4 linked regions of the Arabidopsis thaliana genome follow. The protein of the gene in region 2 interacts with the protein of the main gene of each other region in a pairwise test. Each region holds a gene or a part of one and is shown on either strand. Other genes may lie near its edges.

What was found.
Region 1: the proteins of BRX (region 2) and MKK4 interact in binary tests that used the Arabidopsis thaliana proteins (3 or more experiments, as listed by UniProt).
Region 3: the proteins of BRX (region 2) and CIPK16 interact in binary tests that used the Arabidopsis thaliana proteins (3 or more experiments, as listed by UniProt).
Region 4: the proteins of BRX (region 2) and PKS1 interact in binary tests that used the Arabidopsis thaliana proteins (3 or more experiments, as listed by UniProt).

Annotation. Positions count from the first base shown.
Region 1 is NC_003070.9:19,152,562-19,156,881, reverse strand, and holds MKK4 (mitogen-activated protein kinase kinase 4), read right to left. Parts: upstream 2,560-4,320; 5' UTR 2,308-2,559; coding exon 1,207-2,307; 3' UTR 544-1,206; downstream 1-543. Other genes in the region: AT1G51650 (ATP synthase epsilon chain), read right to left, coding at 3,241-3,269, 4,019-4,202.
Region 2 is NC_003070.9:11,445,556-11,450,748, reverse strand, and holds BRX (DZC (Disease resistance/zinc finger/chromosome condensation-like region) domain containing protein), read right to left. Parts: upstream 3,463-5,193; 5' UTR 3,429-3,462; coding exon 3,427-3,428; intron 2,986-3,426; coding exon 2,832-2,985; intron 1,924-2,831; coding exon 1,532-1,923; intron 1,435-1,531; coding exon 1,305-1,434; intron 1,203-1,304; coding exon 883-1,202; intron 775-882; coding exon 696-774; 3' UTR 557-695; downstream 1-556. Other genes in the region: NIP3;1 (NOD26-like intrinsic protein 3;1), read right to left, coding at 158-289. UniProt on the Arabidopsis thaliana protein: Acts as a regulator of cell proliferation and elongation in the root and shoot. Regulates roots architecture and primary root protophloem differentiation.
Region 3 is NC_003071.7:10,669,905-10,674,920, forward strand, and holds CIPK16 (CBL-interacting protein kinase 16), read right to left. Parts: upstream 2,989-5,016; 5' UTR 2,707-2,988; coding exon 2,006-2,706; intron 1,347-2,005; coding exon 638-1,346; 3' UTR 506-637; downstream 1-505. UniProt on the Arabidopsis thaliana protein: CIPK serine-threonine protein kinases interact with CBL proteins. Binding of a CBL protein to the regulatory NAF domain of CIPK protein lead to the activation of the kinase in a calcium-dependent manner.
Region 4 is NC_003071.7:853,573-858,348, reverse strand, and holds PKS1 (phytochrome kinase substrate 1), read left to right. Parts: upstream 1-1,623; 5' UTR 1,624-1,880; coding exon 1,881-3,200; 3' UTR 3,201-4,272; downstream 4,273-4,776. UniProt on the Arabidopsis thaliana protein: May be responsible for light-regulated cytoplasmic sequestration of phytochromes or may be a negative regulator of phytochrome B signaling. Component of the network that modulates the very low-fluence response (VLFR) branch of phyA signaling.

The sequences.
Region 1 (4,320 bases), 7.7 Mb from region 2:
CCAAAAGCTCCTCATTGTTCACTAATCACACTGAAATAGTAAAAAGATGACATTTTTATCAATGACAAAAAACAGAGGAAGGAGTTTGTGGTTAAATCGAGCCAGTGTGATGCTTCTTTACCAAAGAATGACAAAAATAAAGAAGGATCAAACGCTAAAACGTAACTACTCACTAATCACACTGAAAAAGGAAATGCACAAGCAAGCAAAATCCGTAACAAAAAAAAAAAACCCTAAAACGTAACTAAAAGCTCCTACAAAGGCAAATGCATAAGCAAAAATTGTGACAAACCAAAGCAAGCTACAAAAATCTCAACAACTTAGAAAAAAACTCTAAAGAGTAACACTGATTGCACTTACAAAGAAAAACTCACAAGCAGAGGAAGCAACCAAAGGAACCTAAAGGATTTAGTATTTATAGACAAGAGTATGGGTGACTCGAAAAACCCTAGAGATAGGACAGATGTCACCATCCTCTGTCATCAAATCGTATCAATGGCTGCGAGAATCGCTACTTTCTCCGTACAAGCTTTCAATTCATCACCACTGCTCTGTGTTTTTGTTTCTTGTCGTTTTCCAACTTTGGAGATGACCGTTTGACCGTTGTTGTGCCTTAGACGACGTCTTTTCAACATTGGGCTTTATCTTTAGCTGGCCCAAGTTCCTCTTTTCTTCAATTAGACCCACTTTGCTAAACACAGTCGTTTTGCTCTCTCGGATTGAGGAATTGTCTTAAACTCTTCCAAGGATGTTCTAAACTGGGACATCAACCTGATTAGGTTTGAGAAACGATTCTACGATCCGTATATTTTGCTTTTTCATGATGGTAATAAGCTTTACAAGGAGACATTTTATCAATGACAAAACTAAACACCGAGAATGGAAACGAAACGGTCCTTTTCGTCTTCAAGATGCAAAATTGACGAGCATAAATGACAAAAGAAAAACCAAGGCAAAAACTTTTATGAAAATTCAACAAAGCTACATTGGGGATACATGCACCATCATAAGCATAAGAATATTATCATTGTTCTCTTTTACCTTTCTAGAAAACAATAATCCCAAAAACCCTCTCTCGAGTTTTTTACTCCCTAATAAATGTAAAATTCAGAGACCCTCCATGATTAGCAAAAAATTGGACAACAGACTCAAGAACAGTAGTAACACAAAAAATATGAGTTGATGAAGGGAAGAAGAGAGAAAACGCTATGTGGTTGGAGAAGAAGACGAGGACAGAGGACGAGGAGGAGGCAAGAGTTGATGTAGATTCTGAGGAGACCTGTTCTGGCTCGGACTTGCTCTTAATATGAAAGGATGCTGCAATAGCTGCATAGCACTCCTCCTTTTCCCCGGTTCTCTCTGCAAGCAACACGAGATAAAATGCCGAAACTCCGGCGACGCAGTCGCTGGAGCTTCTGGAGGCTGAGACATACAAATGGCACACATAAGACTAGCCCAATCACCTTGTCTACTCACAGGGAAAGGAAACCTCCCCAAGTAAAACTCCAAAATGCTAACACCTAAGCTCCAAATATCTCCAGCATAACCATCATACTTTCCCTGATTCAAATCAGTGTTAATCCTCTCAGGACTCATATAAGCAATGGTTCCAACAGATGAATTACACGGATCCATAGTCTGAGCCAAGATCCTACTAACTCCAAAATCAGCAATCTTAACGTTTTTAGCAGAGTTTATCAAAAGATTCGATGGTTTGATATCACGATGAACTATGTGACGGCTATGGAGATAAGCTAAACCACTAAGAATCTGACGAGATAGATCAGCTAATTGTTGCTCTTTCCACACATGAGCACCTTCTAAAGAACCTTTATCCATAAACTCAAGCAAAACCTGGATCTCACCGTTCTGATCAAACATCTCGTGACATTTCACAACGTTTGGATGATTCACATCTCGTAAAATCTCGATCTCTCTACAGATCTGACGTCTCACAGTCTCCTCGTGGTTACCGTATATCACCTTAAGTGCATATAGACGAGAACTCGGACGGTGAATCACTTTGTATACCGTTCCACCTGCTCCGCTTCCGATACGGTTACCTCTCACTAAATCCGAATAGTTCTTCGCTTCTATGGAGCTGTTAGTGTTCGTTGAAGACGCCGAACCACCAGAAGACGGCGCAGATCCACTAGAGCCACCGGAACCACCGGAAGTAGGTGGGAGAGGAAGAGGTACAGCGAGAGAAACATCGCGTTGAGGAAGCGGTAAGGTAAGATCAGGACGGCGACGGGGACGGCTTTTCACCGGAACGGAAACTCCTGGAGGCGATTGAATCGGTCTCATCGCTTTTGGAATCAAAAGTTCGATTTTCTTCTACGATCTGAAAATTTAAAAGCTCGATTGAAGATTGAAGTAATGATCTTCGTCGTTTATAGTAGTAGTCTTCTTCGACTTCTTCGTCGTCGTGCGTTGTCGTATTCTAGGGTTTGTTTGTGGCAGGCTTAAATTGATTCGTTCTTCGAAGCGATCAAAATCAAAAGAAATTGAGAAATGAAGTTTCGTCGAAAGAAATTGAAAGGACACTGAAAAGGGAACGTTAATTTTTATTTTGAGAAAATTAATTAAAAGGAAATAAATAGCAAAATTGTTAAAATCGAGAAAAAGGTATCTACGCGATGTGTAAAGCGCGTGAGGATCACTTTCAAGCACGGAAACCATTTGTGACTTTGTGTGGTTGGTTCACTGGGCACTTCTGGCTCTGTTAAGTTTTTTTCAGACTTTACGCGGTGTCGTTTTGTTGGTTTTGTGATATAAACCAAGAAGAGGAAATCGAATTTAAATCAAACAAACGCGTAAAAGTGACATTGGAGATGGTCTAACCTGCAAATATGCGTACTGCGATTCAAAATACATGATTCAGAAAATCAGTTTGTATATTCTCATGTTTAATATTAAGTATGGTCTTCTCTCAACTTCTGACAGTGTATTGATTCTCCACGTATGTGCTTAGTTTTATGCTATTCTCACTGTTCTGTAACAATCAAAAGAACTTGTCTTTAGCCAGAAGAGTCTTTAAAGGCTTTTTTTCATTGTTCGCATACAAAAAGTGAAACAGAATAGCAAAAGAAGAAAAGAGATACACAAGACTCAGTGTGTCATTATTATGATCGGAAATGAGTTTTTCACTCAAGCTCCATTGTTGACAATAAAAAGAAAACAAATCTTGGTAACTCAGTTACTTTTGAATCCCTTAAGAACATAAGCTCAAAGTTGACTTCAAACTTCAGGTGTGTCTGACCGCAAAACTGTCAAGGAAAAACAAAAACATGAGAGAATGTTAGACAAATGGATCAACAAGAAGAAAGCTGAACCATTTTCAGATAGACTAAATCTGGAATCATTGTCTCAGTAAACCCTATTTGAGAAATGAAATCATTCCAAATTCAACAATTTGAACATAACAACAACTTATGAGAAAACAAAATAGAATGAAATTAATCAAATCCAGAAGCAGAAGAGAGACAGATTAAGCGCAAAATCGATGGAGCTTGTTAAAATGATTCATCTTCCTCTTAAATTCAATAGCTTTCCCAAAATGACCTACTCTGATATCTACGTATTCCAACAATTTCAATGACACACAACAAGAACATGAAGAATTCAGATCCAAACATAAACGAGAAAAGACATCTAAATGCAATGTTCCCAATCAGCTTTCCATCTTCTTCATGTTCTTGTTTCACACATACTACTAGTTTTGTTGTTTTCTCTGAAGCTAACTCTAAATGAAAAATTCAACAATTTGGACATAACAACATTGTATGAAGATAGTATTGAACTGATCAAATCCAGAAGCAGAGGAAAGGTTAAATGCAAAATCGAAGATCAAATCCAGAAGCAGATGATTCACTTTCCACTTAATTCCGATAACTTTTAGGAAATCAGATTATTCCAACAAATTACTCAAAAACAAATCAGGAATCGAGAACACAAGAACGTGAAGAATCCAGATCTAAGATCCAACATCGACGATTAAAGGATCGAAAAGGCTTACCAGGTTTCTGGGGCTTTCCATCAGCCCATTTGGAGAGAGAGAAGTGAACCTTCTCGCGAGTAAGAGCTTCAGCTTTGTGTGGCTCCTTGAGACAGTTCCTCACGATATTCGCACAGATGTTTGAATACGATATATATGTCATCCCCGCCGCTCTCCAGAACGGAACCGCCGCATTCGATGCCATCTCCGATCTTCTTCCTTGTCTTCCTTCTTCGTCCGTTCCGATTCTAAGGAGAAAGTTCGCGAAATGGGACAGAGACCGATTCTGTGCCCTAGTAATCCTAACACAGTTTAGACCCAAT
Region 2 (5,193 bases):
TGGAAAATCAGTTACCAATAATTAGAACCAAAGTCAAGATTGAGCTTGCATATAGGCTATAGCAAACATCACACGAAATATAAAATCTTGATTTGGACTAACAAATATTTCACGACAAATTAAGAAACCATATCGCAACATAAAAGAGGCGGCTCACCTTTTGAACGAACGATACGGACACAAGAGGAGCGGATAAATCCGACGACCGGGAATCATCAATGGATTGATAGTTTTCGATGTCCAAGACAACGGTTTGTGTCTGAGTAGTAATATCAGAAATCTCAGCCATTGATGGAACTATGGTGACTTTCCTCCAAGTTTATGGTTTTCTCATCTAAAAACTCAAATGGTCAACTCTACTTTGTATTCGTTATAACTTATAAGCAAATAATAAAGTTGACTTTTTTATTCTATAGTCTATACCGCATGTTGATAAATTCTTTTAGGTTCATAGTTGACTTCTTTATCTTTGTCACAAAACACACGACATGGTTTACACGATAGTTATAGACTTATAATTATATGTAAATGTAATCAGCTTTGATTAGAAATGATATTTCAAAACACTTAATTTATGTATAGATGTTAAGCTAAGATGAACAAAAAGATAAGCAAAATGTGTGTAGTTTGTGTTGTTATGTGAAGGAGATTAATTAATTAATTAAAGATTTTGGTACTCATAATATTTCGTTTGCTTAGAGGTACTGTGTTTGTATTCTCTCTCTGTTCTGCTCCCACCATGTCTTTGCATGCACTTCCCCAAACCGTTCCCGGCTGTTGATTAAACCACAAAACCATAGATTCCGGTTAGTCACGGTATGATTACCAACTTTCAAAATGTATATGATTAGCAAATGCTTAGTTTTAGACGTTTTGTTATACCTGAATCTGACTCGACGTAGCTCTCTAGTCCCATCTGATAATTGTCTGATGGTAATGTAAACACCAGGCTCGTCCTCTTCAATCCACTCAGCTTGCATTTCACTAGCATTGCTCATGGAAGGTGGATCATCTCTGGAAGAAGTTGTGGTTCTTGCTGCATCCATCGGTGGTCCTCCATGATAACTTCCTGGTCCATAGTTGCTAGAGCCGCCATAAAAGTGATGCGGGACAGATCCTGGAGGTCTGAAATTGTGTCTTGGAGTCCAGTCTTTGCTTTCTCTTGCTGAATCCATCTTTGAGTACGTTGAATCTCTCTGTGACTGAAATATAAACTTGTGTTACCCTCTCTGGCTTAAAAGACAAGATTCATATAGATCCTGTTCTGAAGAAAGACTAAGGGATCTAAGGATATATGTGTTTACCTGATCGTCGGATCTTGCAGGCGTTTGGAGAGCTTGGCGGTTAAATCTCTGTACATTGTAAAGCTCAACGATCTTGTCATAGTTCTCACCCCACCACCGTTGAGCTTGCCACTTATCAAACATCTCTCGGCTTTCAAAACAAGACACAAGTAATTGTTAGTTTTTATCTCATGTTTCAGCGTTGAATGCCATGAAGATATAGAGATTGTTTTGAGTAGTTCAAATACCTGAAACGGATCCGTTTGAGATCATTTCCTCCAGTGGGAAGAGAAGCAAATGTGATATGAACACCAGGTTCTACTTGAGCCATCCACTCTTTTGGTCCATCATCATCCAGTACAACATCACAAGACTGTGCAGAGATAGATTCTCGATCATTTCCATATATTGAAGTGAACTTTGATTCTAACCGTCCAGCTGGATGATGAGAGGAGTTTGTGAAGTCCCAAGCAGGAGTTGAACCAGCACTTCCACCCATGAAAGGGTATGGAACACCTTCAGAGGCATTGTCATAATCCGGAAATGATCTATGTCCTTTCTTCAAGGGACTACTAGAGGAACCAGTGCATGGCTTGCATTGTTTATAAGCACCAGAGAATTTCAAAGCCATATCTTTAATCTGCGTAACATATGCACCCAAAAAGACCGATTACATTCAAAAACTTTATCTTGTTTATCAAAGTAATCCATTTAAACACACAAGAATGTTGAGTATAACGGTACACAAACATTATAGGTAGTTTCAAGCCTTTTTAAGTATGACTAAGTATACTTTTTAGCCCAATGAAGTAAAAAGAGGTCTACTATGATCATTATTAAAAGAACAACAATAAAGCTATGAGATCTAACATAATTAAACATATGTATTAAAAAAAGAAACTTCATATTGTCTTCTTAGCCTGCACCACAATCATAACGGCCCACTATTTCTTTTGTTTATGTTCTTTTGATTTACTAAAATAGTTACCCCCACCCCAAAAAACCCTTTCTTTATTTCCTTGTCTAGGTAAGAATCCACTAAAGCTTATTTGAGAGAAAGGTATTTAGATCAAGCTTCACTAGCAATATTCATCAAAGTATGACCCCAATATAAGCTTTAATGATAGTCCTGATAATTCAACTGGCTACATAATTCAAGGATATGTACAATGAGGGTTTAAATTGTTTCAGTAGTTGTTTTTGACTTTCATATGTCTAGTCACATAGAGAGGAAGCAAACACTGACATGAAAACTATTAAAGAGAGATTGGTGAAAGATTCCAAAAAATGAAGTGAAGTTACCTCATTGTAAGATCTCTGTCCTAAACAACAGTAACCTCTATATACTAATGACTTCAAACTCTATTCTTTGGTAAAGAAAACGAATAATAGTCAAATATATGGACCCTTTTTAAGTCCTCTAAGATACGTTAATTGGGGTTTGTGTCTTTGTTTGTTTCACGAGCAAGGCAATTAGAGAAAAGCAATAAAATAAAGTGAAAGAAAATAAAAGCAGAAGAAGGATCAACAAAGAAAGAAGAGAGAGACCTGAATGGTTAGGCTTTTGACGGCTTCTTTAGTATTGGGAGTGGTGCCTCCACGCGCTCCATGTTCGACTTCTTCACCTCCGTCTGCTTTGGTACAAGCTATGCAAGAAAACATTTTTGGTCTCTTTTTTGAGTTGTTCTCTGCCTTTTCAGACCTATAAAACCAGAGAGTACTCTATTAAACATCATCACAAACCAAACCTCACACTACTCTACTCAAATCAATAATAATACTCTACAAAACAAAACAAAAAGTAATTAAGAACGTTAAAGTAGAGCTCACTCTCACAATCCGACATAAAACACGGGTAAAGCTTATGTAATCGTAGTACACATGTAAACATTAGTTACAAGTTAGGAACATATAGCTAGAAAAGGGTATTTGGATTTCAATTGTCGTTTTCTTATAACGCAAAACACAAACACAAAAGGACAAAGTTGTTGACATATCTCTAGTCAGGAAACAACTACTCATGTTATAACAAAAAGAAAATGTAACTTGACTGGTTAGTAGTTTAACTCATAAAGAACCAATGCTAAATATTTCAAGTACTAAACCCATTTTTTAAAAATGGAAAGAAAGAAAAACAGTTTACATTACACCATGGTCGGATATTTGTGTTACCTATTTTAAGAGCGAATAAAAAAAGATGGGTATAAATTAGTGAAGAGATCTTGATAAAGACAAAAGTGTTGAAAGAGATATTAAAACTACATGTTACACTTTTCTTTATTAAAAAAAAAAAGATGTTATAACTAGAAAAGAAAGAGAGCTTGGGGATCAGAAAATAGGACCCAGTTAAGAAATACTAATATTTTAAAAATTAATTGTGCAAATCTAAACACCTGAAAATTGTATAAACACATTATTTACAAGTAATAATATATTCTAAAGACAATCATAATAGAGACAAATGCTTCTTTATTCTACTTTAAATAGTTTTTTTTTTTTGTTAAAGAATAACTTAATACTTTTGTGTGCAGCAAAAGATCCTAAACCCATCCCTCAACTAACAAAAGTTCGAAGAATAATTACATTTTTTTTGCAGTAGCCGAAATTTATGACATTTTAAAAAAAAATCAGATTATTGTGATGACTCAAGAGAATCAAATAATATGTTCTGATTCCGCGTGTTTAACATCGATCAAGACAAATACATAAGTAAAGAAGAAAACAATTGGAAACACTAGAAAAGCAAAACAAAATTGAAAAATATAACAAGAAAATGGAATCTTGACAGTCACGTGTTAAGAAAAAGAAAAAGAGATTGGTTTCTATTTTTAGGGTTTTGAGTGATGATGGACCAATCTAAAGCGTGTCGCGACATGAAAACTAAAACTATATCCAAAGTAAAAGATAAAATCGCAAAAACAATCACGAATCACGAAAAAAACTCTGTTTTGATATCAAAAGCAAAGGCAAAAACTGATACAAAAACCATTATTATTCTCACCTCAGAAAACGACTTCTTCTTTTTTTCTTAATCATTACAATCCAAAAAATAAAATTTTGATTAGTGGGTTTTGTTTATTACTCACTCACCTTTGTGTTTCGATATCTGAGAAATGAAGCGATATGATCTGAGATTATTGAGATACTAGATAGCTAGCTTCTGCTTTATTTTCCTCTTGAAGGCTTTGGTCTATTTAGGAAGCCGGCACGAGTGGGGTTAGTTCTGAGTCTACGTCTATAAATAGACCATCAATGGCTGCAGAGAAGATTAGTGTAGTAGTGTTACAGACAGTAATTGTAATAAATGTGTTACAAAAGGACGAAAACAATTTATGATACTACAATTTTGCTTTTAATGTTTTTGAGAAAAAATTCGGCGTTTTCTCAAAAAAGTAAAAGAACAATAAATACCGGGAAACTTTTGAATGAAAATGAAAATTTATATTAATATTGAAGAATGAATACACATTTTTCGGTGAAGTTTCTGATTTGGGTTTAGTGAGAAAATTTTGGTATTAATCAGAAAAAAATGACGAATCGAATCTGTCTAAATCAAATCAATCAAGTGACAAATGTTTGCAGAAAAAGGTAACGCAAAAAAAAAAAAAAAAATCTCTGAATCTTTTTTTTTCCGGGAAAAAATAGTATTGAAAAGATCGATCGGAAAAAAACCAGTGACTAATCGTTTCTACAGAAGAACAGAAACAGAGCAACGAATCTCTCTGTTTTCTTATTTTCCCGAGAAAAATCTTCAAAAAAGAGAATTTTTATAAACTCACCTGAAATGTCTTCTTCTTCGAATCTGATTATGTAATAAACTTCACTGAGAAAATCTCCAAACTCAAAAACCCATAGAAATCTTCATTTTCCGGAAGAGAAATTTGGAAAAAATGAGAACAGAGACGAAACC
Region 3 (5,016 bases), on a different chromosome or scaffold from region 2:
ATTGCTTGTATACCTTCTTACATTCTAAGTTGTACTAATCGCTTAATAATTTGCGTATAATGGTAATGTTATATACATTATATTATAAAAATGGTGTTATATATACAATAAGACAATCTCGCTCGCGCACATCCAATCAACAACGATGGAGATGATATTACAAAAAAAAGCATTGAACCCTTCACCTCTTACATTTCAAAGTGTTTATTAAACTAGATTAGTTACAGTTCCTTATGTAAAAATTCAAATATTTATAGTTTAGTGGGTGCACCAACGTGAGTCCGCCCTACTTAATCTTATATACATTATTTTATTGAATTTGAAAAGTAATCCGCAATATAACCCTTGAACGTGTATAGATTTTGTAAACCGTATAAGTTTGTATATAGATTAACAAAACTACTTCGCTTTGAACACTTGAAAAAAAAAAAAAATGAGAAGTAGACTCGAACTAATGACCTATAGAACGTTCATAACATATATAACCAATTTTGCTTCAATAGTTTTTGACAATTGTACAAACCCTCCAAGTAATTTTTATTGTTAATCATAAAAAAAATGTTCTTATACATTTGCAATTTCACAATAAGACAGTCTCGCCTCGCACATCCAATTCCAAAAAGTGAATTATTACAGCTCATGAAACATTATTTATTTTGTTATCATTTGTGTCAACATTATCATTAGTGGTAACATCGTCTTCATCATCATCACCTTGCCATGACCATACAATGTCTTTAAGAGCTGGTCTGACGTCATCCTCACAGAAGAGGTAATACTCCAACGTATCCCCCGAGGTTTTGCAGAACTCCACGACAGAGACTTCAGGAGCGACTTCGAATACTTCCGCCGTCACCGAGAGCCTTCCTTTACGACCTTCTGTTCTTCTTTGCAGCTTCATCTTGCAGTCTTTTACATGTTTCACTCTCATATCCATCTCACGCGCCGCCGTCTCCAGCCTCTCTTTAACAGATTTCGCCGGGAACTTCGATGTGAACATCCGCTTTGGCTTTCGTTTTATCTCGAATAGGTTAGAGAGATCGAAACCTGAAGACATTGATGTGATGAATTGGAAGGCGTTGAAGGATCTTGGTGAAGCTCCGTCGTCTTCTTTCTCGTTTAGGTCTTTCTTCTTTTTCTTTGTTGGTGGCTCCGGTGGAGATGGGATCGTTTCGTCTATCGAAAAGGCTACTGATGGTGTAAAGTTCTTTCGGAACCATGGAATCATTTTGATCTCTGACATTGAAATTCTTTGTTCAGGATCCGGCACAAGCAATCTTGAGAGTAGTTCCTTGGATTCTAAGGAAAACCACGGTGGGAACTCGCATTCCGCCTTGAAGATCTTCCTGTTTATTTCGAAAGGTTCAATCAAACAAGAAACAACAATGAGAATTTGATCAATTCACATTCACATTCAACAATACTAATATTTGAATTTGTAAGAAGAGCACTATTTGAGACCGTTATTATTGGCGGGAGTTTTATAAATTATCTAGTAAAATACGGGACGTGAAATTTTGATAATATAGAACTATAATGAAATATACGATCGACCAACATTTATCGAATTTGATATCAGATTAATGTACCTAAAATACCACCCGAATATTCACAAATTGATAATAGTTTCAATATCTTGGAAAATATTGTATAATTTTGAGTAATTATTAAAATTTGAATTACGTGAACAAATAATTCAAATACTATATATCTTTTCTTTTTGTGTGTGTAAACTTTCAAATAGTATATCTTATATCCAAGTTTTGTATCTATTGGTACAAGTTAAACTGTCTCTTTCAAATAATATTTTATTTAACCAAAAATGATTATTATTTCTTTTTAACATATATAAGTATGTGATGTAAAATTGAGATGCATCTAGAAACCCAACTCAAAATGGACTACTTTGGCTTTTAGTTCAATATTTTTTTGTATCTCACTATTCGTCAAATAAATAACAAAAACAAATACGGTTTGGGCCAAAACCTGGTCAAGAAATACTTACGTGTACAATGTCATGACGTTTTCGTCGATAAACGGCAAGAAGCCAGCAAGGAGTGCATACAAAACAATCCCGCACGACCAAATATCAGCCATAGCTCCGTCGTATCCTTTATTCCGTAAAACCTCCGGCGCCACGTAAGCCGGTGTCCCGCACCGCGTATGTAAAAGATCATCGCTGCTACCACGCCTGCCACCTAGCCCTTCTGGCATCATCAATGCGGAAAGTCCGAAATCCGTTACCTTAAGATCACCTTCTCCGTCAAGCAACAGATTCTCGGGTTTAATATCGCGGTGGAAAACACCGCGGCTGTGGCAAAAATCCACCGCGGATATCAATTGTTGGAAATACTTTCTGGCTAGATCCTCCGGGAGCTTCCCATCTCTATCGATCATTTCGAAAAGCTCTCCGCCGTTGACGTACTCCATGACGAAGAAAATCTTCTTCTTTGTAGCCATTACTTCGCGGAGCTCGACCACGTTTGGATGACGGAGGAGACGCATGACGGCGATCTCTCGTTCGATTTGCTCCATCATGCCACGACGTTTGAAAACGTGGTCTTTTTTGATGACTTTGATTGCCACGTCATCGCCGGTGGAGATCTCTGTTCCGTGATACACTTTGGCGAAGTTACCGGTTCCGAGAAGTCTTCCGATGTTGTATTTGTCGAACAAGACAGTACTACTACGGTTTGATTCTTCCATTGTCTTTGTCTGACTAGTTACAAGTATATGTGAGACTAATTATGTGGAATTTTGTGATTTGGTTACATATCTATATATATAAGCAGAAATTATTTGTGGAATTTTTTTATTTATAATGTTGTCTACTTTGTTTGATATGTGACGACTAAGTGAACTGTGAAGAAATGTTCTAATCTTATCTAAACAAAGTGATGTGCCTAAGATCTGGCAGCTAGCATAATTAAATACGACCAAAGCCAAAAGAATAACCAAGACGAAATTGATTCGCGAATTGAACTAAATCGGGGTTTGCTATTTATGTTGAGTGCCTAAAAAAGGGTTATAGAACATGATAAAACTAGATATAATTAACAAACTAAAGCATGAAAAATAAATATCTCGAGTTACGATGCAATGATCATAAGAGAATGATTTCAATAAAAGTGTAACAGGTGATTTAAATCCATTTCTATGTAAATAAATCCTTTTTTTAACCAGTTAAACAATGGTCTCGCACATTTCTGACCATGTATTCATGTAAATAAGTTCTTAAAGTTTTCAGAATAGATTTTAAAAATATAAAAGTAACTCTCTTATCCTTATACAAAAATTGTGGACGCCATGAAATTGACGTGGAATCGCCGTTAATGCTACGCATGTTTTGAAGTAGATACGCATTAATTAAAAATAGTAAACTTGTCCCGATAAAATTTCAATGAACTGTCTTTTTTTGGTAAGGCAAGATGTGACCTTTTCTACTTGGCCCTTAAATATTTTTAAAACAATTTCTTGACTTATTTTTCATAGAGGAATTTTTAATTTCTTTCGAAAAGCTTTGACTCTTTTCCTAGTTGGGACGATTGTATCGGAAAGTGGTCATTTCTAATACGTCCGTGAATCTATCGACCAAATCTTCCTTTCTACATCTTTGCTAATTTCTTGGTTTGATGGATTCTTCATATTTTGCTACTCAAAACAACACACTCAATTTTTCCAATTGTTTTCTTACAATTTGATGATTTTTCTACATACATGAAAATCTCATTATAACCGTGTATTTGGGTGGGATACTGTTATTTTCCTCTATCATAATCAAAGGTACATCTTGTAAAGCTAAATCTAAATTTTAACAAAAAAAAAAGAAGCTAAATCTAAATTTGTTCGATTTAAAGATCAGGATTATTAAGATAATATATAACTAATCATTTTAAGGAACATGTATAACAAGTCCAAGAAACTTTGTGATGTGTCATGATTTGGACCCACGATTAATGACAACAATTATGTTTACACAAATGTTAATACTCTAACGAAATACTATAACGAGTTTTACCCAAAAAAAAAAAAAAAAAAAAAAAAAAAAATACTATAACGAGATATGTATTTAAAATTGAAGAGTAAAAGGGTAACATCACAAACATAGTACACTATTTTGTGGCTAATTGGGTGATCACAGACATATATCTACTTATCGCGCTGCATTTCCGATTGTTTGTTATTTTCGGGTGATTAGGTTGTCGAAACTAGCTGCTAAAACAAGCCATGCCGTGAATTTTGCATCACATTGATCAGTCAAATTTCAAGCAGTAGTTGATTGGAATATGCCCTAAAGAGTGAAAAGATTTGCAAATCCACCTAAATAAGCCATCGTTTGTGCTGCACATGGTTTAAATGTTGCATTACTTAATTAGAAAACAATTTGATCAAATGCATAGGAGTTCTACTTCGAACGAATCTAAAGATGTTACCTCATCTACCTTATGTTTTCCTGATGATAGAAGACCCCCTTACCTAAAAATGTTGTTCAAGGGTAAACAATAAATACATATATATACATGAGTGTGTGTGTGTGTACAAGCACGATTCATATTATATGTATGTTGCCAAAACCTTTGCTATTTGATGCACAATATGTGATGATGTAAACTTTATATATAAGTACAGAATGTTTGAATGGAGCTTAGACAATTTCTTGAACCAGAGAAAATAAAATAATAATTGGTGTTGTTGATAAAAACTCAACATGCCAAGAAAAACAGATTGCTGAAGTATGGATCTTCAAATTCTATCATTTACATAAATTAAAATGAGTGATCTTGCAAGGAAAAATGTGAAGAAAAATGGAAAATAAGAGTTCTTTGTAAGAAAGGGGAAGTTTTATTGAAATGAAAATATTGAAGACTTGGTAATAAAGAAGAATGCAAAAACCGTGAAGAATCCTACACAATTTTGTCTACTTCTTTTTTTTTTCTTTACTTCAAAAGTACAAAATTTTCTCTACTTTCTGTAGCTTCTCTTTTTGTTAGAAAGTTGATAAATCTTTGCAAAGGA
Region 4 (4,776 bases), on a different chromosome or scaffold from region 2:
TTTGATATTTGTAGTCATGCTTGTGGTTTGTGGTAAATCTCATAATGATCATTTTTGTTTTAGTTGGACGAATAAAGGTTGTGGTTGAGAAACAAACACGTATGCTGTGGGATCAATTCGAACCATTCATACGTGATACGTCGACTATAGCAACTAATAAGCATATTTTATTAACTACATTACACAATATTCTTGATTGACAGATACATAGATTTTATGTTTGAATTAATTAATCTTTCGTTATGTTATATTTAACAAAAACAATACACATTATTTGATATGTATTATATGACAAGATACGATTCCATGAATTTTCTAATATACATTACACATAAATTATAGAGCGTACGTCAAATCATAACATAAAATATTACTATATTTAACAAAACCCAACTCGATGGTCTTTGTCAATATCTCCCCATGCAACAAAATACGTACATCCCTCGTGCTTTCTAAGTTTCTATTTTTGTATTTTTGTTCCTCAAGTGAAATCCATATCCACTACTTTTCTAGTTGAAAAAAGTTAGAAGTTAAAATACAAGTAAATCCAGATTCACTTGTCAGCTCAATCCTAACATGTCTTTGAAAATGTGTGTCCGAAAACTTGTCAGCCCATTATTAAGTATGTGAAACAATACTTTAATTTGAAGTAATTAAGAAAAACAATACATTAAATCTACTTTTTTTCTCATGTAAAACTCTTTGACACCATTGGTAAAATCCAATCATTTATCTTCCGATCTTATTGACGATGTCATTAATTTGTTAATTGTATGATGGTTAATAAGTTTATCCAATGTATGTTTTTGTTTAATTTATTTATCCAATGTATTATTTTATTTTAACATACAATGCTAATCAAAATTTTAGTTTAAGTAATTAAGAGAGTCCTTTAAGAATAATAAAAAAATGTTGGTTTATAACAGAGAGTCCTTTAAGAATAATAAAAAAATGTTGGTTTATAACAGAGAGTCCTCAATGCAAATCAGATTGTTTTAAACCTGCACACAATCCAACAAAATCATCTCTTCTTGCTAAAGCTAATCATCTCAATTATCTCACAAGGTTCAACAATCGTATGAATGTGAAGTATATAGCCATACACCCCCATCTGTAATTAACGTGTCCGAACGGATTGTACATTAGAGCACCTCCAATGTATAGGATTCATATAGTTTCTAAAAAAACAAAAAGTATTAATATTTTATTTTTATATCCAAAAAACAAAAAAAAACAACCTATATGAATAATAGAAACGATCCTCCCAATTTTAGAGATTCTCTCTCATCTCTTTTTTAATTTATAATTTTTTTTTGTAATTGTATGAGTTTCTACTAAAAAACTACGGTTGGAGTTGGTTTTAGTTGCTACAAATATAGTAGCAAATGTGTTTTAAATCGGAATCTTAAAAACGTATAGTAGTGCTAAACGTCTACGTACAAAATACGAATATTGAACGTATAAAAAAAAACACTTTCTGAAATCTGCAGGTTAGAAAATTATTTAAGAGATCCAGTTGCAATGTGAGTAGTATACTAGTACTGTTGTATTAATAAGTCCTAATCGAATTAAGACCATATCATTATAATTCCTTTCTTTTGTGGTCACGGGGGTAACATTATTTTTCGATTATTCTCCATTGATTGGCAAAGATTCATTATCCAAATATATAAATAAATCAGTTCACACACACAACAACTGGCCAATGACTCAAACTGGAACCCACTCACATTGATCAGATCATAACACTTTTAGCTTCAGAAAAAAAAAAAAAAACAGCTATCAAACATATCGTCTTGTTACTCTATTTATACCCTAATTCCACATATCTACACACAAGCAATAAAGAGAGAAAAAAATATAAAGCTACCAAAGAGAAAATGGTGACACTAACACCATCTTCTGCTAGTACCCCAAAAACATCTTTTGATTTCATGAAGAATAACAACAGTCACAGCAGTCTCTATGTTTCTTCTTCTTCTTACTTGAGCAGCAAGGAAGATGCTCTTGTCACGACCAAGAAGCTCATGGAACCAAGCAAAACACTAAACATGAGCATTAATCCAAAACAAGAGGAGTTTGGTGATGAGAAGAAAATGGTGAAGAAAGCTCCTGAAGATCCAGAGATTGGTGTGTTTGGAGCTGAGAAGTACTTCAATGGAGACATGGATTCAGACCAAGGTTCTAGTGTTCTGTCTCTGACAAACCCAGAAGTTGAGAGAACCGTCGTCGACTCGAAGCAGAGCGCGAAGAAATCTACTGGTACTCCGAGTGTCCGGTCTGAATCAAGCTGGAATAGTCAGAGCGTGTTGCTTCAGAACAAACTGGTGAATAGCTGCAACAGTTCCTTCAAGGAAAAGAAGAACAGTAATGGTCAGATTCAAAAGGTGACCAATAATAAGAAGAGTTTTCTCGCAAATTTGGGGTGTAAATGCGCATGCTCTGATGGGGATTCTGTAGATGTCGAGGAGAAAACCTCGGTCAAGAGAAGCGCTGATCCGAATATCTCTGTTATCACAATGAGATCTTCTGCGGATATGAACACAGAACTGATCAAGATTCAGAAGCAAGAGGAGTTATCACAGAGGAAGTCTCTTGAAGTTTTTGGATCTCCAGTGGCTATTGAGAAGAAGAGTAGTGTTGTTCAGAAGAAACTACCATTGCCTCCATGGAAATCGAGAACAGAGGAGGACGACACAAAGAGTGAAGGGAGTGATTCAAGCTCGGATCTTTTCGAGATAGAGGGTCTTACAGGGAACCCTAAACCTTTTCTTACGAGGCAAGGAAGTGATCCAGCTTCACCTACGTGTTATGCGCCAAGTGAAGTAAGCGTAGAGTGGAGCATAGTGACAGCAAGTGCAGCAGATTTCTCTGTTATGTCAGAATGTGCAACAAGTCCTGTAAGAAGAAACCGACCTACTCAGATTCCTCGAATCCCTATTACCGCTAAATCAGCACCGCAGAGACGGAAATCGAGTAGCAGCAGCGGAGGGAATGGTTTCTTGATGAGCTGCAAGAGTCATAAATCTGTTATGGTTTCTGGTGATTTAGACAGAAGAAGCAGCATGAACAAGACACAACCGAGTTACGTTCCTAGATTCCCAATGGAGACTACTAAACCTAAGAGTTTCGAAACACGAAGAAGGATCAGCAACAGCTCGATTTCTCACACACAATCATCTCTTCTTTATAGTCAGTGATTGCAAGAAAGTAAAAGAAAAAGATTTCAATCTCTGATCTCTCTTTATCTATAATTTCTACTGAGTGAGAAAGATATGTAAACTTATAATAATGTCTTGTTGAGTCCATGATCAAATCAATTTAAAAGGGTTTCTTAGAGACCTTTTGCACCTAAGAAAAAGTTACTCAAAGAGTGACAAATGATTGGAGAGTGAAAACAAAACATTATGGTCAGTTAAAAACACAGATCTCAAATTCAGCAAAATAAGCAGAGAGACATTCCAAAAATTGGCTCCACCAAGTTTTACCTTTTTTGGATTTAGTCTCAAGACTCAAGAGAGAGAGATATGAGTTTTGTCTTAGCTTGAAAGGGTTAAATCAAACGTACACTAGATTGACAGAAAGAGCTATTAATGAGGAAACTTAAATCAATGAAAGTGTCATATTACCTAACATATCTAAGATCTGGTCCTGAAACTCATCTAAAGGCCATGTATATGTCTGAAATAAAAGTAAGGTAGACAAAACCTTAATTGCTAGTTGACAATATGAGAGAAAAGAACCAAAGTGCCTTACTAAGACAATAAATGCAAAGAAAGATCAAAGATGTTTGTCTCTGTAGCCTACTCATAAGGGAAATGATCGAATTTACCCCAAATGATCTTATCCAGTTCACTGATATTTCTCTGTAAGATATTTCAAAAAGGGCTAATTAGATTTCAAGAAAAGACATAAATGAAACCAAGATGATGACATCAAAGCTAGTATAGCTAGTATGGGCTTAAAACCAAGAAACATACAGATCTTGAAGATAAGTATTGTACCCTTCTCAAAAGATATGAGAAAATAATTGACCACACTATATATAAAAATCTAATCATCTAACTACTTAGTTTTCATATGTGGATGAGAGAAGAACAACAAAAGCAAGAAGACATTTTGTGTTAAGAAAGCAAAACAAGATTACTCATCTTTGAATTCTTTGGTTGGACATTGCCTCAAAGCATCCGCTTGCTCTCTTTCGTCAAGTGAATAAAGGCAAGTTGGTAATGAGATGAGACTCTGATCCCACATGACAAAAAATGGCTGAGAGAAGTTTCTATTTAATTCCATAGAGTTTGTGGTGAAACATTCACTGTCTTGATGTGAAAGGGGTTCGTTCCTCAGGAGCCCACCAAGAGAAGGAGAAGAGTCTTGTGTGGTCGTTTGCTGCATCTCCATTACTTCATGTTACCAAAAGAATACAAAAAAACCCCAAACATAGGTTCAGGAACAGATGATGATTATAGAAATAACAATCTTATATTATCTGACAACAAAGTGGTAACAGTACATCAAAACTAGGATTCTTGACTGTCTCTAGCTATGTGTCAGTTCCTAATATCTTCCACAGAGAGAAGGAAATAATGATCATATGCCAACATAAAGAAAATCAAATCTTTTTAAAGCACCCCTAAGTGTATCATAACATGAGAAAAATAAACCTTTAAAGGAAAGATCACTCGATTTTCACAAAGATAACAATCACAGTGCTCTGCCTCTGATTACCAAGTAACGTTTAATGTTCAATTGCCCCGAGTGAAACCATTACCAGTT